Linked DNA regions of Xenopus tropicalis. The protein of the gene in region 3 purifies or fractionates together with the protein of the main gene of each other region. This does not show direct contact. Links are inferred from orthologs where the notes say so. Each region holds a gene or a part of one and is shown on either strand. Other genes may lie near its edges.

The links.
Region 1: the proteins of mark2 (region 3) and mtcl1 purify together in Homo sapiens (affinity purification with mass spectrometry; 5 studies listed by BioGRID and IntAct, with this or other methods). This does not show direct contact. The link is inferred for Xenopus tropicalis from reciprocal best matches to the Homo sapiens genes MARK2 and MTCL1.
Region 2: the proteins of mark2 (region 3) and fuca1 purify together in Homo sapiens (affinity purification with mass spectrometry; 3 studies listed by BioGRID and IntAct, counting the BioPlex papers as one, with this or other methods). This does not show direct contact. The link is inferred for Xenopus tropicalis from reciprocal best matches to the Homo sapiens genes MARK2 and FUCA1.

Annotation. Positions count from the first base shown.
Region 1 is NC_030682.2:104,945,145-104,951,704, reverse strand, and holds part of mtcl1 (microtubule cross-linking factor 1), read left to right. Parts: coding exon 1-191; intron 192-1,574; coding exon 1,575-1,612; intron 1,613-3,030; coding exon 3,031-3,312; intron 3,313-4,061; coding exon of another isoform or gene 4,062-4,100; exon of another isoform or gene 4,101-4,117; intron 4,118-6,560. UniProt on the Homo sapiens protein: Microtubule-associated factor involved in the late phase of epithelial polarization and microtubule dynamics regulation.
Region 2 is NC_030678.2:90,716,553-90,724,336, reverse strand, and holds the start of fuca1 (tissue alpha-L-fucosidase precursor), read left to right. Parts: upstream 1-3,149; 5' UTR 3,150-3,154; coding exon 3,155-3,522; intron 3,523-5,781; coding exon 5,782-5,916; intron 5,917-6,005; coding exon 6,006-6,143; intron 6,144-6,929; coding exon 6,930-7,035; intron 7,036-7,784. UniProt on the Homo sapiens protein: Alpha-L-fucosidase is responsible for hydrolyzing the alpha-1,6-linked fucose joined to the reducing-end N-acetylglucosamine of the carbohydrate moieties of glycoproteins.
Region 3 is NC_030680.2:36,154,199-36,161,182, forward strand, and holds part of mark2 (serine/threonine-protein kinase MARK2), read right to left. Parts: coding exon 6,917-6,984; intron 4,986-6,916; coding exon 4,873-4,985; intron 3,919-4,872; coding exon 3,786-3,918; intron 2,824-3,785; coding exon 2,645-2,823; intron 1,035-2,644; coding exon 937-1,034; intron 458-936; coding exon 308-457; intron 1-307. UniProt on the Homo sapiens protein: Serine/threonine-protein kinase. Involved in cell polarity and microtubule dynamics regulation. Phosphorylates CRTC2/TORC2, DCX, HDAC7, KIF13B, MAP2, MAP4 and RAB11FIP2. Phosphorylates the microtubule-associated protein MAPT/TAU.

The DNA.
Region 1 (6,560 bases), on a different chromosome or scaffold from region 3:
GGGAACAAAATGCTGATATCATCCCTGGTAGACAAGACCTATCTGCCCCAGCAGGTTACACACTGACAGAAAATGCTGCAAGAATACTGAACAGGAAAATGTTAGAAGAACAAAGTCCAAACAGTCCATCTAGAAGTTTCAATGACAACACAGCTGCAGAGATTCTTAAAGTTGATCAAAGGTCTATAGAGGTAAGTCATTTCTAGTGTGGACTACACCTGTTACTAGCTTAGCATTTGTGACTCTGAACTAGACTATGGCTCTGCTGCTGTGAACGTCAGCCATTCTGTGATCTAGACAGCTAACATTGTGGTGCTGCTAGTAATTTTTAAAGGGGTGGTTCACCTTAATGTTAACTTTTAGTACATTATAGAATGTCCCATTCCTGGCAATTTTGCACTTGGTCTTCATTATATATTTTACATAGTTTTCAAATTATTTACCTCCTACTTTTACATTTTTTGAGCTTTTAAATTGGGGGTCACTGACCCTGACAGCCAAAAGCTATTGCTCTGTGAGCTTACAGTTTTATTATTAGGTACTTTTTGTTTCTTATCTTTCTAGTCAGTCCCTCTCCTATTCATATTCCAGTCTCTCATTTAAACCACTGCCTGGTTGCTAAGGTAAACAAGACCCTGGCACCCAGATAGCTGCTGAAATGCAAAACTGGAGAGCTGTCCACCAAAAGCTAAATAACTGTAATCACCAAAAACATAAAAATAAAAATCAATCTGTTAAACCATATGGGATCTTCTCTAGTGAATGTTGGTGTTTAAGCAAATTGCTTGACTCGCAAGATGACATACATGTTATTGAAAGAGCCAACCATCCATATGTTTTGCTACTTGCCCATGTTTTTGCTTCTAATTGAAAAACAGATTATACCTGTACATCTATAACAATAACATTAAGACAAATTTGAATGAAACTGCCATGCTGAGACATAAGCCTGTGGGAAATCATAGGATGTAACATTCACAGGTCAAAGATTATTTCACTTAATAACAAATGCTGAACATATCAAAGCAATATGAAAATGTTGCCTTTATATAAAAAGCACCTTGTTGTTAATGGCATTGTTAAAGAAATAATAATTGTTTGCATAGCCACTTAACAGTGCTGTCGAATTTCAGGGCTACAAAGCTGTGTTTAAAGAAGGCTCTTTAAGGCTGGGTCCTTTCTTTCTGTGGGAAAATTATCTCCAGGGCGGAGTATCTGCCTTCTTTGCTCTCACAGCTTCCAGTTTTTTCATTAATAATAGAAACCACATAGAAGATAATCCTACTATCTCCAAAATGTAACATTAATAGCTAAGTACCCCACTGGCTCCACTTGCAAGCTGCACTTACCTGTTGTTTTCTGTATGTTTTATTTATAGTTAAAAATTACTTTTAAATTGCAAAAATAAAAACTTAATAGTAACAACCACATATATGTTACAAAGTCATATCCCATAGACAAACCCTTGGGTGGCAAGTATAATGTTCCTTTAAAGATTGTTGGAAAACAAGAGGAAATGAGAATGTCCTTTTACAACCCTTTTGATAGAATTAAAATATGTATTTATTATTTAGGTACAAAGCTATACATGTGCTCACAGATGTATTTCCACGTGAGTATAGGACACGGTGGTGGTGTTTCAGTTAAGATTTGAATCAGAGTGTCCAAAATCTATCTCTACTGATTTTCTATTTTCTGTTGTTATAAAATCACAGTGATTGAGCTTAACCTTCTTTTTTCAATGAGAGCCTGCACAAAATCAATTCTATGCACATGTTGAACTAACTCAAACTGAGATTGCATATGTGCTCTGGTACTCACAGTGCAACCATTTCTCCCAAATGAAAGCAAGATCAGTCTATTTCCTCCGGGTCAAAGTCTTGTGGGGTTTGCCAGTTCTACAACAAGGTGTGCTAGTGAGAGGGCTAAATTCCTATCTGTACTCATTTTAAGCTTGTTCCACCTAAAATGCTACTAAGTTAGTACTCACAGGGTATTTATGTAGTTCACAACAGATAGAGGGCTGCATAAGGCTAATGCCAGATGGGGCTTATTCTCAGTCTGCAGATAAACACAGAATGAGAATTAGCCTCTATGCTGGCATCAGCCTCTCTTTGTGCCTGCACTTGGATCCATTGCGTCGACCCGGGGGCAGGTACACAGAGATGATTGTAGCACCAAAATGTAGCATACTTGTGCATTTTGGAACCAAAATCTGCTTCGGGTGCAGGACCAGGGAAAGGCTGTTGCCTGCGTAGGGGCTGATTCTGGCATTATCTTAAAGGAGACGTATCCTATAAAAACTATGAATGTACCAGTGAATTATACTCCTCTAGATATAGAAGGATTGTGCTTTAAAAAGTTGTGTTTCCTGCTGATTTATTGAGAAATTCCACCAAAACCCCACTAGCCCCGCCCATCGGTTCCACTTCCTGCTGGCTGAATTCTCTGGATGAGCTGGGGAGCCGGCGGCCCTCCGTACACTGCACTGTAGGATAGGAACCAATCAGCAGCTAGGCTGACCTGATAGGGAACTGAAGCCTGTCTTTGCTTGCGTGAGTGCAGGGTTGTGATTGGCTCTCTCCCTCCTACTGTGCTTCTGGCAGGGACCGTTAGGACACGCCCACTCTTCATTTCAAATGTGGTCGGAGAAGTGATACGATCTATAGGGAGCTCCAATAAAGGGGCCATTGTTGCAGAGAGGATTAATGTTTAGCCCAAAGGGAAACCAGCACCATATATTATTCATAATTCCAATATGTCTCCTTTAAGACTGATACCTGGATTTTTCTTGGTTCTTTTTTGGTTTCCATCTGTATAATCATTTAAAGAGGGGCTGTTGGCACTGGAAACCACTAACTCCATCTATTGGGTACTTTTTTCCTCCTTTTTATTACAGAGCCCTTTGATTTACTCAAAATACGACAATATCTGTTGTCTTACTAACAATGTAATGTGTGTACATGCAACTAAAAACATTTGTATACTCTTATGTATTATGCATTTTGCGTTATTGTGTCTGCTTACAAGGTTATTAATATGGTTGTCTGGGCCACCCAGTCACAGGCGCGGTAACGCAGAATACATGACATATAAGATATTTTCAGCTAGAGCACCTGTCAATCCAGCCGATCGTATATTGCCCGATCATGTCTTCAGGGAAGAAACCAAGCACCTGCTTGCCCACCCACAACATTGCAGCACAGTTACCTACACACCAACGTCTGTCAACTTGAAGTCAGTGAGGAATGTCAGGTGTGCTGAGGATCAGCCTGCACAGCAGCCCCACGCAACTCCATGCACATGCAGCAGGTGTGATGGAACGGGCAGTTAAAAGCAATGAGCAATGTATGACATCAATGAGGGGGGACAGGTATTGGACAAATAAGGAAGGAATAGTGTAGGTAATAGGGTGATGGTATTACATATACAACACAGTACAAAAGTTGACTGGAGGGCAGGTGTAAAGGGTAGATTATCTGGAAGAGAAGGTGAGAAAATGTAAGGGAAGATAGCTATGGGGGGGGGGGGAGAAAGAATAAGGTGACGAGGAAGTGAAACAGTTTGACCTAATATTCTTAGAAAAAAACAAGAGTATAAATACATTTTTACCAAAATTTTGTTTGGCTTACTACCCCAGAATAGATAGTTCAGAGTGAGGGCACATTGTTCTGTGCAGGGAACCTGTGTTACTTTTACTACATTGCTTCTGGTTATTAGCCCTCCTTGAATGCTATTCTATTTACATGCTGAAAATGTGTTACCTACGAACAAGAATATTAAAAATGTGTAATATGTGTGACCTATGAATTAAGAAAATTACTGTTTATTATATATGGCCAGGATGTTTGGTAGGCATTTCCAGCTAACAATATGTGTATAGATACTTTATTGTATTGTAACTCTTGGATTTTCATTTCTGTTTTGTTCAATGTTTTGTTTGCTGACAGCCATTCTGGTATCGTCAAGAAATGAGAAGCCCTGGAATATCCTCTAATAATTATTTGTACTTTTCTTTTCCTTTCCAATCTACTTGCTTTCTTTCTGTCTATCCTGACTAGAACCAAACTGTCTTACTAACTGCTCCCTGGGGAGTCTAACTGCCTGCTACACTGCTGTAAGTCTCTTCTCTTCCTTTTTTTTATTGACTGGTGTGTTCTGAAACAGAGCCAAAATACACTGACATGTGGACATAACTATGGCCCTACTCGCATAAAATCTCCCCCTCCGAGTGTCTGACAGTCTCACAGCATTTGCTCCGGCTGTTCCTTTATAAGTCACTACTTTAAATATAGGCACAAACTATCCACAGACTAAACATAGGCAGAGCTAAGAAATGCAAATGTGAGCAAGACGCTAATCTGGTCTGGAAAATGGCAATCAGATTATGGAACCTGGCAACCAAGATTTAAAACAAAAGTCTTTTTCATCATCTGATAGCTATGACGGCCACTGGCTCTCCAGCCAACAGTGACCTACATAAGCAGCGTCCTCAGTCTCTCAGTGCTTGTTGGGAGTCTGCAGTCAGTATAGGAGCACCTTGGATCTGTTGTAGATCCCCAAGCTGGACTTGTCTTTTTTGCCTTTTGGGCATTAATTTTACTTCAAGATGTGTTTTTGAGGGCTCTTTTATCATTCATGTGTGTCCTGTTTGCTTCCCAGGCATTACATTTCCTCTTTTCTTTTCTCCAGGTTCTCTGTTTTCTCATTTCAACTTGTGCAACTTGTGCCCATTGTTCTCTAGCTCTGTTTACCTGCATCCACAGCAAGCACCCCCCATGCCATGTTTGTCACATATACAGATAACTGCTATCTGCCCTGTTGTATAAGCAGCTGCAAATATCTCTGCTGAACCACAACGCCATCCATCATGGGAGCTATAACTTCCTATAATATTTTAACAGTGCTCCCACTATGGCTAGGAAATAAGGACTGGCCTAAGGGTAGTGCCCATGCAGAATATATATTGTTTGTATGTGACTGTTCTGTTACAAATGCTTTCATTTGTTCTTACCATTTTCTCTAACCCCTACTAACGTTCAGGACATCTGAAATGTTCATAAGTCAATTTTCCACTGCTTTTAGAAACCTTCTAAACTCACTCCAACAGTCTGTATTATTTTTTATTCTGTATGTTTATACTTCATTCAGACTTACTAATAACAAATCACATTTCTGTTCTTTACGTCTAAAATGTGCATTTATTCACTGGATTTTAACTATATTAACTCTTTCTTTGTAAAGTTGCCTCCTTGCTCTCAGTAACAGAATTTACTTATAAAATAGTCCCATAAATGCAGACAACTCTATAATATAAATTAGTTTCACTGCTGGGCCTATTGTATAGTAGCTTGAAGAAGAGGCTTTTTGGGGTGCTTCACTGTTATGCTCCCCTCAGCTCAAATGTGAGACAGATATTCATGGCCACATATACTGCTATGCAGCAGCCAATTGCAACCAATAATACATTTGTTTCATTAGGAGATTATGGAGGAAAATATGATTCAAAGCAACTTTTTCAATAGATTGAAAATGTAATTGTTTTTTTTGAGTTTATGGTAAACGTCATTTCACGATATTTATGTAGCTATTTATATTCTCTGTACGTCTTGTTCTGACTCCTGAAACAATCCAGCAGAAGCCAGCTGATTATTAGAACTGACTATACGACTATATTGTGTCAAAAGTCAGAACCAGGAATGAGTTGAAAGAACAGAAATGGATAAACACACACTGCTTCCAATTGCAATGGCATTTCTAAATCACTTTAAAATCACTGCAAATGTATTATAAATGTGTATTGGAAAGTTGCTCAGCTGAATATTTTTAGGTGGTGGTTCTGTTTAATCTAAACATTATTATAAGTGACCAAGAAGCTGATGCATTTTGTACAGATTGGCCTTACCTGTACCAGTTACATGCTCATTCAGCAAGAGAAAATATAACCCTACTATTTTCTTGCTAAAATGATTGCCTATTAATATCACAGTGATTTGGAGCCACAAAGCAGTGTGTCTAAGATGTACCAATGTGTTTAGTGTTGCCCATGTGTTTGTACTTTACATATTGCTGATAATCTGCCTTCTACCAATACATTTTAGGTGTGTTTTGCCAAAAACTTGAACCAGTTATTGGAATCTCTCATTCTATCAGCATTATAAGTAGAATACATACACACATGACTCTATTCTCTTTGGGTACCAGTTGGTTATTATATGCTTTATATTTAAGGCACAAGCATATGCCACACTTGTTTACCAGTATTGATTAACTATTTACATTGGGAGCTTACAATATAATTTTCCCTACAGCCAACATTAAGTTAAAGAAAAATCCATTCATATACAGGTATTAGTGTATGTTTGGAGTGTGAGACAAAACTGAAGCACCCAGAGTAAACAGACAGACTCCACGTAATTTATGTTCTGGTCAGAGTTGAACCCTGGACCCGCAGTTGCTTACCCTGTGCATGCAGTAACTGAACTAATTATATTTTCTTTGCCTTGTTCTTGCCCAATAGAACGTTCAGGGTCAGTTGGGATCTGTATGCATGGCATAAC
Region 2 (7,784 bases), on a different chromosome or scaffold from region 3:
ATGACAACTGTCCAACTCACATGTGGACGTGCAAGTTTATATTCTCGTTATGGGCATGGTGCCGCCTTGGCACTGGCCCCAGACCCGAAACATACATGCACGTAAAGTCACATCCAGCCTGTAACGTTACTTCCACCTATGGCAGGCCGTCAGGTACTCCTCTCCCCTCAAGGTGTGCCACCCGGATTTAGAGCACAGTTATTCATTTGCTGCTGGGGGGATTTTTTTTGTATAGACCAGGCACCTGTATAATACACATATTTACCATAATGGTAAATGACATTTACCATGGTATGGTAATAAATTTTATTTGGTAATTTGTATTTACCATATAGATACCTATATAGACTGCTGCCCCCCTAGGCATGGGGGTCTGGAGAGTCTATATTGTAAATATGGCCCCGGCAGACACAACTTTCCCTTTTTGCAGTAATGTATACGGGTGCAAGTGGCCTGGCCAGGTCCATGTTGTTGGTCACAGCATTACTGTCAGGTGAGCTCTGTGGTCTACAATAAAATCGGTAGTTATTTGGGAATTTTTACCTTGTAAAGCAAGTTGCGGTTAAAACTTTATGAATCAGATGAAAGGAGTGGTCAGACCAGAAATCAGTTGGCCAGCTTGAATATAATATATGGATAAACAATCCCTGTTTCAAGTGCAGGCATTTTTTGGTAGCTGTATGCATAAAATTTGTCCGAAGTATATTAATATAGGTAAGTACAGAGAATTTATTGTCTTTGTCTCTCTCATTAGGGTAAGCGATTCAGTCGCCGTGATAGATCTCTGCTATCGGAGGCGACTGCTGCTCCGAAATGGCTTTACACCTGCAACAATTGGAATTAGTATTCCAAAATTGAGCAAAGTTTCCTCCTGCAGGCAAGTTTGTGCGACTTCAGAAAACGAAGCAATGCAAAGAGATTTTTTTGCCAGTGGAAAGCCGTTTTTGGAGAGTTTAGTCGCCCGCAATAGCAGAGATCTATTGCAGGCAACTAAATTGCTCTGTGGATTCTTACCCTTATAATCACTGGGACTCAAAGGGATTTGTTAGCAAAATCATTGCATATTAATTTGTCAATGTATAGCCACAGAGACCTTACTCAAGTCTTTTTTATTAAAGATGGCTCCCATAAAGGCTATCTTGAGCTTTTTTTGTGTTTGAGATGTTTTTGCTTAAAATAAGCATTAACTGCAGCACATAACTATTTTTTTAGTCCAGTTTGTACCAGCTGTTTCCACCATACAGTAATATTGTTCCAAATTACCTTCAGGCTGAAGGGTTTCGGCATGGGCACCTGGACTCCTCACTAATGGTTTTGGTGAGTTCACCCCCAGAGTACTTAGTTTTAGGAAACCTTTTTTTTGTTTTTTTATTAACGCACTGGTGATGTGACAGAATAAGAGATAAAAACACCAGATTATTCTGGGCCTGGCCTTCTTGCTTCCAGGAGCAGGCCATCAAATGATGGTGTCACAGAGTCTCCACTGAGGATGCAGTGGTTACCATCCTTTTTGTTAAGACACAAAAAAATTGTAGTGCAGTCAACCAGAAGGGACACAAATGGGCATTAATGGTTCACAAAGACAGTCCTAAAAAATTGATAGTGAGGTGGAGAATTTGAACATAAAGATACTGTAGATGTCCCTCACATCAGCAACTTACATTCTTCCATTCCTTACGGAACCTTACACCTTGCAGACATTGCAACACAGCCTTTCACAACTCCAGTCTGTTCTAAATGCTGTTGCCAGATTCATTCATCTCAACGATCCACATCAACTGCTCCCTATACATATCCCTTCACTGGATCCTGGTCTCTTCTAAAATCAAATTTAAATTACTGGGGCTCATTTAAGGCACTTATCAATGAAGCCCCTCTCTATATCGCAAGTCTGATATTAAAATACACTCCTTCATGCAACCTACATTCTGCTTATGACCTTCGCCTCTCTTCTCCTCTCATCACTTCATCCCATTCCCGACTGCAAGACTGCTCTCTGGCTTCTGCCCGTCTCTGGAACTCTCTGTCTAAGGGCTCTGGCACACGGGGAAGATTAGTCGCCCGCGATTAACTCCCTGTTCGCGGGCGACTAATCTCCCCGAGTTGCCTAGCCCTGCCATCCCACCGGCGAACATGTAAGTCGCCGGCGGGATGGCAGACGCGGCGGGGCGATTTCCGGAAGTCGCCGAAAAAGACTCACTAGAGGTTAAAAAGAAAGACTAGATAACCTATTCATCGATGCAACCTAGCCTACAAACTATATATTATATAGGTAACAGACTCAAGCAAGTTCCAGGGGGAGCGTTCCCTTGAGGCTGCCATACACGGGCCTATTTTAACTGACGATATATTTTAGACCGATTCAGCAGCTTATCTGCCCATGTATGGGCACCACTGGTGGCCTCCCTAACCGACATGTAGCCTGAAATTGGCCAGATCGTGATCAGGCAGGTTGGATTTTTCCATTGGATCGGGGACTGCATCAGCTTATTGATGTTGTCCCCGAACAGATGGTGCCTATGCCCACTGTTTTAATTTGATCATTTGGCCCTAGGGCTGATATCGCCTACCTGTAGGTGAGAATATCAGGAGATCTGCTCACTTGGCAACCTTGCCAAACAAGCAGATCTTACAGTGTATGTATGGCCACATTTAGGTGGTGCAGCTGTTTGTCAATAAAGCAATCAATGTTATAAAAAGTTTTGAAAGTTGGAAATCTGTTTTACAGAGACTCTGCAGAGAAGTTCTAATTCATTTTTCAAATTACTTAAAATACATATAAACAATGGGAAAAAAACGCTTTTTAAAAATATTGTTGTAAGGACCCTTAAGAGCAAGTAGGGGCGCTTCTGAATGCTGCATAGTAAGTACCTGAGGCTAAAGAAGGATGTACAGCGATGAAATCCTTTCACATGAACAGTCGTACGTGCTTACTATAACCTGAAGGATGTCCTAAATGTACACAGTGGGATAATCGCATAATAGTTTTTGAGATGTTATTGGTCTACTAAACTAGTTCCTCCTGCAGCAGCACTGAAGCGGCACTGTGTGAGGCGGTTTGAAACGGTTGCTAGGCGGGCTTTAGAAGGGGGCGTGGTCTCACATATAGTTCCGGTCTCATGACAGTTTCAGATGTATACAGTCTGTGCCGGTGATGACAATGGAAGCAGTGCGGGGCTCTGGAACCGGTGGGCTCCTTTTTCTATGTGCTCTGGCCACTGTCCTGCCTTCTGGCTCCTCGCGTTACACTCCCAACTGGGAATCTCTGGATGCTCGGCCTCTTCCGCCTTGGTTCGATGAAGCCAAGTTCGGAATATTCCTGCACTGGGGGGTGTTTTCAGTGCCCTCATTTGGCAGCGAGTGGTTCTGGTGGAACTGGCATGAGCGCTCGGACGCCTATGTCAAGTTCATGGAGCAGAACTACCGGCCCGGCTTTACCTATGCAGACTTCGCCCCTCAGTTCACTGCAGAGTTTTACGACCCTGATGCCTGGGCGCAACTCTTCCAAGCAGCGGGGGCCAAGTGAGTTTTAGCTATTTATTGCTCGGCACTTGCTTTGTCTTTGCCCCAAATTATGCTTTTGAGCCGCGAACATGCATGGTGCTTAGCAATGCTGTTTAGCTCATTTCCTTGGTATATGTATATAATCATTTGTGTAACAATAATTTAACTGCCAGTCTGATAACCAAAATGTATGAACTTCACCATTCGTGTTGTGGTCCTAGCCTTCCTGCATTGCCATTGGGCTCTATGTCTTATATAGTTTGGGGGCAGAAAACAGTATGCATTTTGAGCCTAAAAATACCTGACAAGTAGATTCACTGGATTATGGGGTGCTATATGGAACACTATGGGGCTTGTGTATAACTTCAGGCAAGGGACAAAGCACCTCTAAACAAATCAGACACAAGGCACAAGCAGAGCACTGGTATGTTCCTCTTATGGCTGTTGCTTCTAGGGCATTAATAGGACCACTAACGTGTGCCCTTAGCCTTAGTGTGTTGAATACAGCAAATATGTATTTCTTTCAGGTACAGAAAATATATTTTGTGAAAGGAAATGGTTATTTTATCCCTTTAAAAGCCCTGTGCTGCCCCTGAATTTGCATTGTCTTCAGACCATTTGTGCAAGAGTTATGCAGACTAATGTATATTGGCTATTTTTACAGCTGCTGTATCCCACTCGAGCGCAGAGGCAGTCAAAATGCACCATAGGTTGTATTGTTCTATTGTTTGGCGTCATGGCATGTGATCCTTTTATTCAGAACTTCCTGGTCACACCTTGTTTTTGACTTTAATTTTTGCTCATGTGATTGAGCCATTGCAATACTGATAATTTTCAGAGGCAAGACTGTAACAACAAGCCTGTTGTCCCTGTGACTGGAGGGGGGTATTCTGGTCTCTTAGTGTAAAAATTAAATGGGTCCCTGACTCTTGTAAAAACTTTAATTTACTTGCTATTATTACAGAATGGCTTTTGTCTGCAAAAAAATAAAAAATTCTGTGGACCCCCATGTATCCATGTGAAATATCTTGTAGATATTGATATGCTGAGACAATTTCAATTGGTTTTAATTTGTTTTTTGTTTTTTTTGTTTTTTTTTTTGTGGTTGTGGACTGTATATGCTTGGAGTGTATGTATTGTACTGCAAGGATATCCTGCTACAATATATCCTGTCTGTAGACTTCCAGGTTTCTGTGCCAGTATATTCTCTGTTACTGTTATTTAATTGCATCTGTATTTTGTGTTGAAAACGTTATCATTTTTAAATACAGTCCCCTAATTCAGTAAAATTAAAAAAGGCACTCAGAATGTGGAAAAATCCTTGTAGAAAATGAGCCCCAGTTCATTCTAAGCATAAATATTGGCTAGCACCTGTTAGTGACAGATACAGATTTATAAAGCTTTAATACCTTTTAGCCCAATGGTTATGCATGAATCTATTTTTGTTCATAACACACAATGGGAACAATTTGGGGGTAATTTCAGTAAACAATGCAAAGCTGTACTCCAATCAGAAATATGTGTGCATTTATTGTGGTTTTCTTTTTAACTTGCAAGGTTACATTTTGCTGTAAATGAATCAGTACTTTTAGTCAAAGTTTTCAACATGGCTTTGTGACAAAATGAACGCTGGGCTTTAGTCACTCCTAAAATTAAATATACAAAAAGGTATTCTGTGTTTGCACCATAAAATATAACTTTTAATAAATACTAATTAATAGACCAATTTGTTAAAATAACTGATGACTTAATCGCAATAAAAATCAGTCTTCCTATCAACCCTGTAGGTCAATTAATGTACCTTCTACTCAATCGGGAAATCAACCTTATACATATTAATACAAGGAAATCACTACATTACTAAATGAATTGTTCTATTTGGCCTATGAACTTTATTTAATATAATCATGTATAAGCGTGATTTCCATGATCTGGCAGCCGCGTTTACCACCCTCTGCTGTGTGGCAAGAACCCCCACCTTGGAATCGTGCTGTTTTTTGATAGGTTAGTATGTGCTGTCACACGCTCACCAAAGACGTGATCTTTCAGACTGGAATAGCAAACTGTGCCAGCCAATAACTTATGCACTTGCATATAAGCCTCATGATGTGATGGCTGTAATCCAATGTAGTCAGTTTAATATGTTTAAAACTTTATCTGCAGATGCACCTTATCAGCCACTTTCTTTTATTTGCATGTTCCCCTGTCAAAGCATATTTGTTTAATTTTAAATTGACTTCTGGGCAGTCTCTAAACAAGTTTTGTTGCTTTGTTGAGGTATGTTGTCCTGACCACCAAGCACCATGAAGGTTTTACAAACTGGGGCTCCCCCGTGTCTTGGAACTGGAATGCAGTAGATGTTGGGCCACACCGTGACCTGGTTGGGGACTTCAGTGATGCGTTGAGAAAACGGTTTGTCACAAAAATATTCATGGTAAAGTTATAAATGTTTTATATCTTTTTTTGTCGCCTGCTTTAAAATTACCTTTCTTGCATTCTAGGAACCTGAGCGTTGGTTTGTACCACTCTTTATTGGAATGGTTTCATCCCCTGTATCTACTAGACAAAAAAAATGGCTTCAAGACACAGTATTTTGTTTTTTCCAAAACAATGCCTGAGCTCTATGACTTGGTTAATAGGTAAGGCCGCACAGAAATAATCTTTGTTACAGTGTCTGTCTGGCTAATTTCATTGCATGGCACAAAGCTCTGCTAGGGACATTTTGTTCCTCAATTTAAAGTGCTGATTTCCTGGAAACAAATTCCTCTTCAGTCTGCTGGTAGGTTACACAAGTTACTGGACTGTGACAAAGTTTCTGACACTTTATATTACACATTGTCTATCCCATCACAGCACTGCATCTACATTACTGGACATAGAACAAAGCATATGAATACACTAATGATTTTATGATTTGCTGACATAATTGGCAAAAGTCCATATCATATAATCCCATCTGTAGCAAGTCACAGCTGTCTAGTCTTTACCTAGCGTGGTGGATGCACTGTATGTTCCATTCACAAATTTCATCAACAGAACTGGGGTTTTTAAATACACCCCCCCCCCCCCCCACTTTTTTTTTTTTTTTTTTTAACCTGCTTCACTGTTAATGTCTTTCCTTTTATGTAGCGCCTTGGTTGCAGGATTCTGATGATCACAAATACTTTTTAACTTTTAACCCCACTTGTTAGCGCCATGCTCCACTCTATACCTACAAGCTTTTAGAATACAATTCATTTGTGGAAGATCTTATTTAGGATGTCCTGAAACTATTTACAGTTCACCAACTCATTAGGTTGTTTTAAAGGGGATATGTTGGATATAGTCAGGAGTAGAGATTCAAATGTATGATTATCATGTAAATGTTAACATGTGGCTGTAATTCATTTCTTATCATTGCAACTCAAAGTTATTTTATTTATCAGGTATAAACCAGATCTGATTTGGTCAGATGGAGACTGGGAGTCCCCTGATACCTACTGGAATTCCACTGACTTTTTGGCTTGGCTCTACAATGATAGTCCTGTCAAGGTACTTGCTTCTTACTCCATAATTGTCCTTTATTGTATACTTAACAGAAAGGGTTTTGGTTTTTTGTTTTTTTTTAATAACCTATATGTCACTTTGCCTTCTTGCCTTGCTTCTTCTGAAGAAAATCTGTGGTGACAAAATACCAGTCATAGCTATAAACAATTTCTCAGTATAGTATATTGGGAATGGCTGAGTGACATGCTTGCATTATTGTCTCCCAAAAAGTAATGTTCATTTATGGTAATAGTTCACATATGCTATACTCATGGAAGTCTGCACTTGCTGAAGAAAGGGAAAAACCAATCTCATGCAAAAGATAAATAAATGCTTTTAACAATTCCCTTTTATTTTTTAGTACTGTATATACTCAAGTATAAGCCTAGTTTTTCAGCACCAAAAATGAGCTGAAAAAGTCACCCTCGGCTTATACTCGAGTCGGGTGCCATGGGTCCCTCCAAACTAGCACCCTCTGTCCTTTGTGTGCAAATTAGGCCACCTGCAACCAGACCCTCCAGTGCCCTGGCCGCTCCCAAATTTATTTTCATCTATCATCCTCACCTGTCCCATTCTGCTCTAGACATTTCACTTTATATTCTGCATAAACTATATATAGTTTTGAAGGATTTTAACTCTTTGTGTTTTAGCTTGGTTGCTGAGTACTCTTAAGGTATCATTGTTGATAAAACAATTGTTTTTGTTGACCCTCCACTTACAGAGCTAATTTACAGTTTTTATTTGAAATAAATATT
Region 3 (6,984 bases):
CCACTGAAATTTGTAATAAATGTATATGGGAAAGTTGTTTAGAATTATGTTTTTGTAAATTTATTGGCAAACATTTTTTTTGGGGGGGGGGGGGAGAAGGGGGTTGTCATGCCCTTTGAAAGGAAATACATATTTGTACATTATTATATCAGTTAATAATATGATGATGTGTAATAAATATAAATCTAAATTTACATCGGTCATACAGAATATATTACTTGCCACTAAATTCTCCAGTCACTGCCTGCAAAAGTTAAGTTATAATCTATGTTCTTCATCTATGCTCTTTTGTCCCTTTTAGACTTGCCTTGGCCTTTGAACTTCACAGTTTCCATCCAGGGAAGGAGCGGGTTTGGAAGGGTGCACAGAAGTGGACATGGATTTCTGGTGCTGTCGGATCCGAGCAGAGGTGGCTGGGGCAGAAGCGGTGGAGGCACGGGACCCAGGTGTAGAGAAGCTGAGAGTGATATTCAAATGGAGAAACAAAACAGAAAATGGAGACACAGACTAGGAAAGAATGAGGAAGGGAGACACTGAGATTTCTGTAATGAAAAGGCTTTCAACACAAAATGAACTTCTTCCACTGGGGGATACACAAGACTAGGTATTATGGACATATATTTTCTAGAGATCACAAGGTGAGAATGCACTGATGATACAACATGGGCTAATAATATTCCATGACACTTGTGGGATGATACAATCTTGGCGTGTTCATGGTAGCAAATATAAATGTGTTTCATTGTGATTGAAGGCTTATAAATGATAAAAGTAGCGAATTGCATAGAAGCGTTTTGCAGAAGGTATGTTCCATTGTGAGCCTAACACAGCTATCAGTAGCTTAGACTAAAGATCTGACACCTTTGTTATACCAGACTACTAGAAGAAGAAAGACATGGAATAATATAAAGTATTAAGGTAAGACAAATTTCTTACCTATCCTTTCCATTCTGTACAGATCCAGGCACAAGTGAGGCTCTGTCCAGCATTGGCGAGTTGCGACTGCGATTAGTGCCAGTAGAAAGTACACTGTTCTGCAAAGTGGCAAAAAAAAAAACAGCAATTAAACAGACTATTTGAATGTAGAGGGGAAGAGCATCTGATATTTAAAACTCACACAATGCTCTCTATGCACAAAAACAACATTCTCACCACTTTGAGGAAAAAAACAGTATGAACACAACTGCATGGACTGCAGTCATAGGACACTAGAGGTTTGATAGATATTCTAGCAAAATAATTTGCAAGGGTATTTATATAATGAAAGTCAGCCATATTTGCACACAATTTACATATTCACATATCTGCAGATATACTTTGAATTCCTGTACATTAACATTTTTAAACATCAAAGCTAAAATCAAGGTACAGAAATCAGTACCCTATGTAGCCCTACTGTCTTAGAAATACTACTTCTTAGAATAACCTATTTAAGAGCAGTATCACAGAGATCCACAGGATTTGCAAGGTAAAACAATTGTTTTTTGTATATGTGCATACTAGGTACAGTTTTAAGAAGATGAGTCTAGCCAGGACAAAACAGAAACTACTCCAACATTTTTAATTATCTAAAAGTTTCAAGTAGTCCTGTGGAACCACTGCTATTATGTAAGGAGGAAAGTGACTGGCAATCAGAAGTTATTTATTTATGTATTTAAGGACAAGAAAAAGGGAAATTCAAAGGGTGCCAATGTGTTAGACACATCCCAGTAAATATCATCACTTACCTTAGATTGCCCTGGGTGTATTCCTGCTGCACACTGCTGCCAATGCCCCACTGATTTTCATCCGAATACCGCACTTGCACAGTACAGTAAAGACCAGGCTTAAACTTTGAAGTCACAAATTTTACTCTACTGCACATGTACGCTATCTGGAAAGCACAGAGGAGCATTGCACAAGATGGTGGAAGTTAAGGATAACGTTCATTGGGGATGTCTAACACATTGGCACCCCAAGTGAATTTCCCTTTCCTTTGCCATCAAAGGGTGAAGAAACAATTCATCAGGGGGTACTTAACCATTAATATCAATTGTCAGAAGGTGGTTGCTTTACATAATCCACTACATACTGTATTTCTGGTCATGTTATGACTAAGCAAGGCACAAAGCTAGCACACCTTAAATACAAACCAGCACTGGCAAATAATAAATATCCTATTGTGCTCTGCAGAAAATATCTGAAAATTTGTGTATATGGACCCAGTCCATGATCAACTCATCAGCTGCATGCCAGAGCCTTGTTTAACCAACACTACTCTAAAATTAATATCACCTTAGGCATAAAATAAATACATTAATCTGACCCCTTGCTATCTGTTTAGTTTTCTATTAATTTCAATGACTTCACTGATAAACATTTTGATTAGTTCACTGTAAAAAAAAAAAAAAATACTACATAATAAAGAGAATGTAAAGATAACTATAGAACTGTTTAATTAAGCATATACCCTAAAGTTAGCGGCCATTAACCTGGAGTGCTGAATGTTGCCCATGGCTGTGACATCAACTCCTCCCTGAATTAATTACCATAAAAAAAAACACAAAAACATTGTTTGTACTATATCAGAGACTCTTTCATTCTCACACAATAAGTAATATTAAACAATACAGGCAAATATAACACTGGGTCTTCAAGAACTGACCGTAGATGGGGTTGGTGTTGTCTTCTTTCTGTCAAGCCCAGAAAGAGGACTTGGTGGAACTCGGACAGTACTGCTGGACTTGCGCCCACTTTCTTTGTCATCCTCAGATCGCCTGTTTTCAGCATTGTTGCTTTGGGTCTTCTTGGAGTAGGAATTGGAGTTGGGGATGGCTGGTCCAGCTGAGAGAGACAAATAATGTTATGGACGTATTGTTCATCAATTTACCATTTGATCAACGATTTATCAATTTTTTTAACCCAAAAATAGGTCTGAACAATTGTTGAACGATTGAGCAGAGAATATTCATTTTGAATGTATGTCAACAAAATAATAAAAAGCACATTTTATTACAATATATGATGAAAGTACCGCAAATATAAAATACATGCATAGGGCAATGTTGGTAACAGGGACTGAATTGGATATAGTAGCAACTCTAATGAAATAAAAGTAATCAAATATACATCAAGCAAAACATTTAAAAACAAACAAAAAAAAAAAAACAAATAGTAACCAGAATAATAGATTAAGTAATTGTTTGGAGAAAAAAAACCACAAAAAAAACTCACTGCCTCACAGGAAATCGAGCAAGGTATCTGAAACCAGCAGAATGGACAGAAAGAGCACACTAGGAACTAAGTTCTGCTGCAAGTATTGCTGGTTCAGAGTAAAATAACACAAAATGATGATTTTAGGAAAAAACAAAACAAAACAAAAAAACTATTGCTCTGAGGCTAATGCCCTGTTGCTAGGAAAATTTTACTTTAATGTTAAAAAAAAACAGCACTGGTCTCTCTCGGGTTGGCTCACCCTTCATCATCAACTCTCAGCCCTTTGTTTCATGTAAACTGGTTGTATGGCTAAGCAGTACCTCACTGCCACACTGTGGTAGCAATTTTTTTGGCAAGAACAATTTGCAAAAGAAAGTATTCACTGCCTCCTGTGGAGAAATGCAAAAGGACAAACTTGTCATCTGTTGCATAGTTAGCCCAATAGGGGGCGACCTACCTACTCCTGATGCCATGAAATCTGCAGCAGAGAAGAACTCAAATAATCACACCTACAGTTTTACAAACAAATCCATCACATGGAATGGAATAAAAAGTAAATATACATATTTATTAAAATATAAAGCACCCACCTTGGTCACTGAGTCTTCTCTGTTTGGGATTGGCTGAAACACTGCGCTGCACTTTGTGAGCAGGTGACGGGGCTATGCTATTAGTGACGTCTGGTGGGGGTCTGGGCTTCAGAGTTAAGTTGTCATTATCCGTCTGAGAATAAAAACAGAAACAAAAATTAGACTGTTGGATTCAAGAGTCCAAAAAGATAAAAATCAGTTTTTTTGTTATGAGAATTCACATAAATAAGAAACCACAATGTGGTGCAGGCCATATTTTCTGTCACAACAGAAGGGAAGTTACACCAAAAATACATTTGTCTATCCAGTGAATGTAAAAATGTTTTTTATTGCATAAAGTTCAATATCAGCTCCCTTGTTTCACCTGATAATTTGATAAGCTACATGCATAGGCAGCTGACTACAATAAAATGTAATTCAAAGAACTCAACGCAATCTCTTGGAGTGCCACATCTGGCCTGTGGGTCTTCAGTCGGACAAGCCCATAATTAAAAAATTGTAAGCATCACCTAATGTGTCTAGAATGGGTTTGGGTCAGGCAAGGTTGTGTCTTTACCAGCAGCAATTCACAGTTAATTTAACTCACTGCAGCTGGTATCCCCATGACTCCTTGTCGGGATAGCGTGGTGCCAATCCTGCCCTCTTTGACGTCACCATAAAAGGCAGGTCAGGCACAAGTATAAAAGTCCCTTCTCAGGATTGGGCAAAAAATATCCAACCCGCACATAACTACTGTCTATGGCAGATCACTTGGAGGTGCATTTTAATCGTATTTGTGTGTGCGGCTCCTATTCAGCATTGATTTCAAGCAACTTTTTTTTGGCAGTATCCATTAAACCTAAGCCCTCTCTAGAACCACACTTTATGGTTTTAACTTGGTTACAATGCCATTATGTTTTATACTGGTAATGTCTGTAGTTCTTGTTAAGCCATAAAAAAGGCAGAAAACACTTCATTGTCCTATAGTCAACATTTGTAACTCTAAATATGTAAAACTCTGGTTTCACTAGTATATTTTTCAACAATACAGACACAATTATCATCAGGTAATCATAGGCTGACTAGCTACAGCAGTAGAATTTCATACCTCAGATGACTTGTAACCCAGCAGTAGATAAGTAGCCATGACCTCATTATATTTCTGGTTAACTAGAGAGTCGCTGATTTCTTCTCGGGTATAACCCATGGTTATCATTAACTCTGTTTATGGAAAATTCACAAAACAAATATTTAATATACATGAAAAAGCTATCATAACCAAATGTACACACTTAAAGTAGAACTACTGAAAACAGAAAAACTACTCTTAGAACAAAAAACATTCCATTGCTGTATGCTTTTAAAATAACATCCCCCTGCAGAAGCACGCCCTCCCTACCTACATCCATGCCTGCACCTAAAAGTTACCTGGCCCCTTGGACAGCCTAAGGAACTGCAAAGTAGCACAGCGGGGTTGGTGGCCATCTTATTCTACCTAGTCACATACTGCTTCTGGCTCTCGGGTTGGTGATTCTTTGAAAAGCGTAGGGGAAGCAAGAACCCCAGTTCGCTGCTCTACAGTTCCATAGCCAGTGAGAGAGCCAAGAATGCAGTTGTGGGGAGGAGACTACAAGAAGGTGATATTAGTTAAGAAAATACAGAAGGGGTTAAGGTTCTCTTTTAGTGACACTGCAAATGATCAGATACCTCAATGTAAAGATTGTATAAAAATTGCTCTTACAAGGCCAGCTAATACATTTTATGGAAAATAATATCCTTTATTTCGATCCACATGGTCTACTTTTTATTCTCTAAATATGGCATACTGCATAAACAACTGACACTAATGGCAGCTGCTTTCTATTCTACCTGTACCTCTACCTTGTGACTATCTTACTGGCTACAGAATGTACCTACTAGTAATTAGATTCAAAAAGAAAAGGACCAGCTACAAACCCGCTTGAATGAGAAACACCTAAAACCAATGGGCGCAGAATGTTTTCAGCCCAAATATACTAGCAAGAGCATTTTAAGCTAAAATAAAAGTACATTTACAGGAAGTTGTTTGTGGAGCTTTTAAGTTGGCTTAAAAGCACTATCGTCCTTAAAGTATAGGGAGAAAAATATGAGAACACTTCATCTTAACAAATAGGAAATTCTGTGCAGTCTCCAAAAGAGTTCTTTCTGCCCTGTTAGGGCAATGTCATGCCGAATGGAGATGCAGTTTTGACTGTTCTGCCCTCAGTGTTAAAAGATGCCTGGGAGACAAAACACTCAAAAATGGCCTGTATGCTATTGTCCTTAACCTGCAGGCTATTATGAATCAGAATGTCTTTGTTTTATCATACTTATTAAAAGTATCTGCATTATCAAATATTTTCTCCCCTAAAGCAAGACTGATTATTCCAGTAGAGGTATGGGACCTATTTTTCAGAATGCCTTGGACCTGGTGTTTTCCAGATAAGGGGGCTTTCCTTACTTTGGATCTACAAACCTTTTGTTATATCAGTTGGGATCAAGTACAAGGTACTGTTTTAATAGTACATAAAAAAAGGAAATCATTTTTTAAAATTGTAATTCTTTATTTAATATGGAGTCTATGGGAGATGGCCTTTACGTAATGCATTGCTTTCTGGACAACAGGTTTCCAGATAACTGATCCCATTCCTGTATATTTATGAAAGAAAATGTCTGTTTAACAAGACTTAATGAGATTTTTGCTTTTAGAATGGTAAAAGTATAACATCTTAAGAATACATTCTCAATTCATTAAATTAAAAGAATGTATTTCCAAATACAAAAAGGTTTTATATAGTGAGTTCCCTGTGAGAAACATCTGCATGAAATGGATTAAATCTTTATAGTTTGGAAAAATGGGATTAGTTAGATCTTTAAAACAAAAATACACTGAGAACATCTCCCTCAGTGCAAAGAATACCTTGCTGCCCACGCAGCTCACACGAAGGAAGGATTCTTAAAATTCTAGAGGTAGGTTATGCAAAAAAATGTAGCCTACCAAAGGAGGATGGAAGAGATGCAAAAAACCCAGCAACAAACAAAATGATGTTTTGCTCTAAGTCAACAAGTTTTGCAAAAATCCATAATTTGCATTATGCTGAGCAACACTAGTGACAGCTAGATAACAAACAGACCTGTTCTTTTGGGGTCCTTGTAATCTGGAATAGGCTCCACATAGGGCTTTAGCTCATCTTCTTCATGT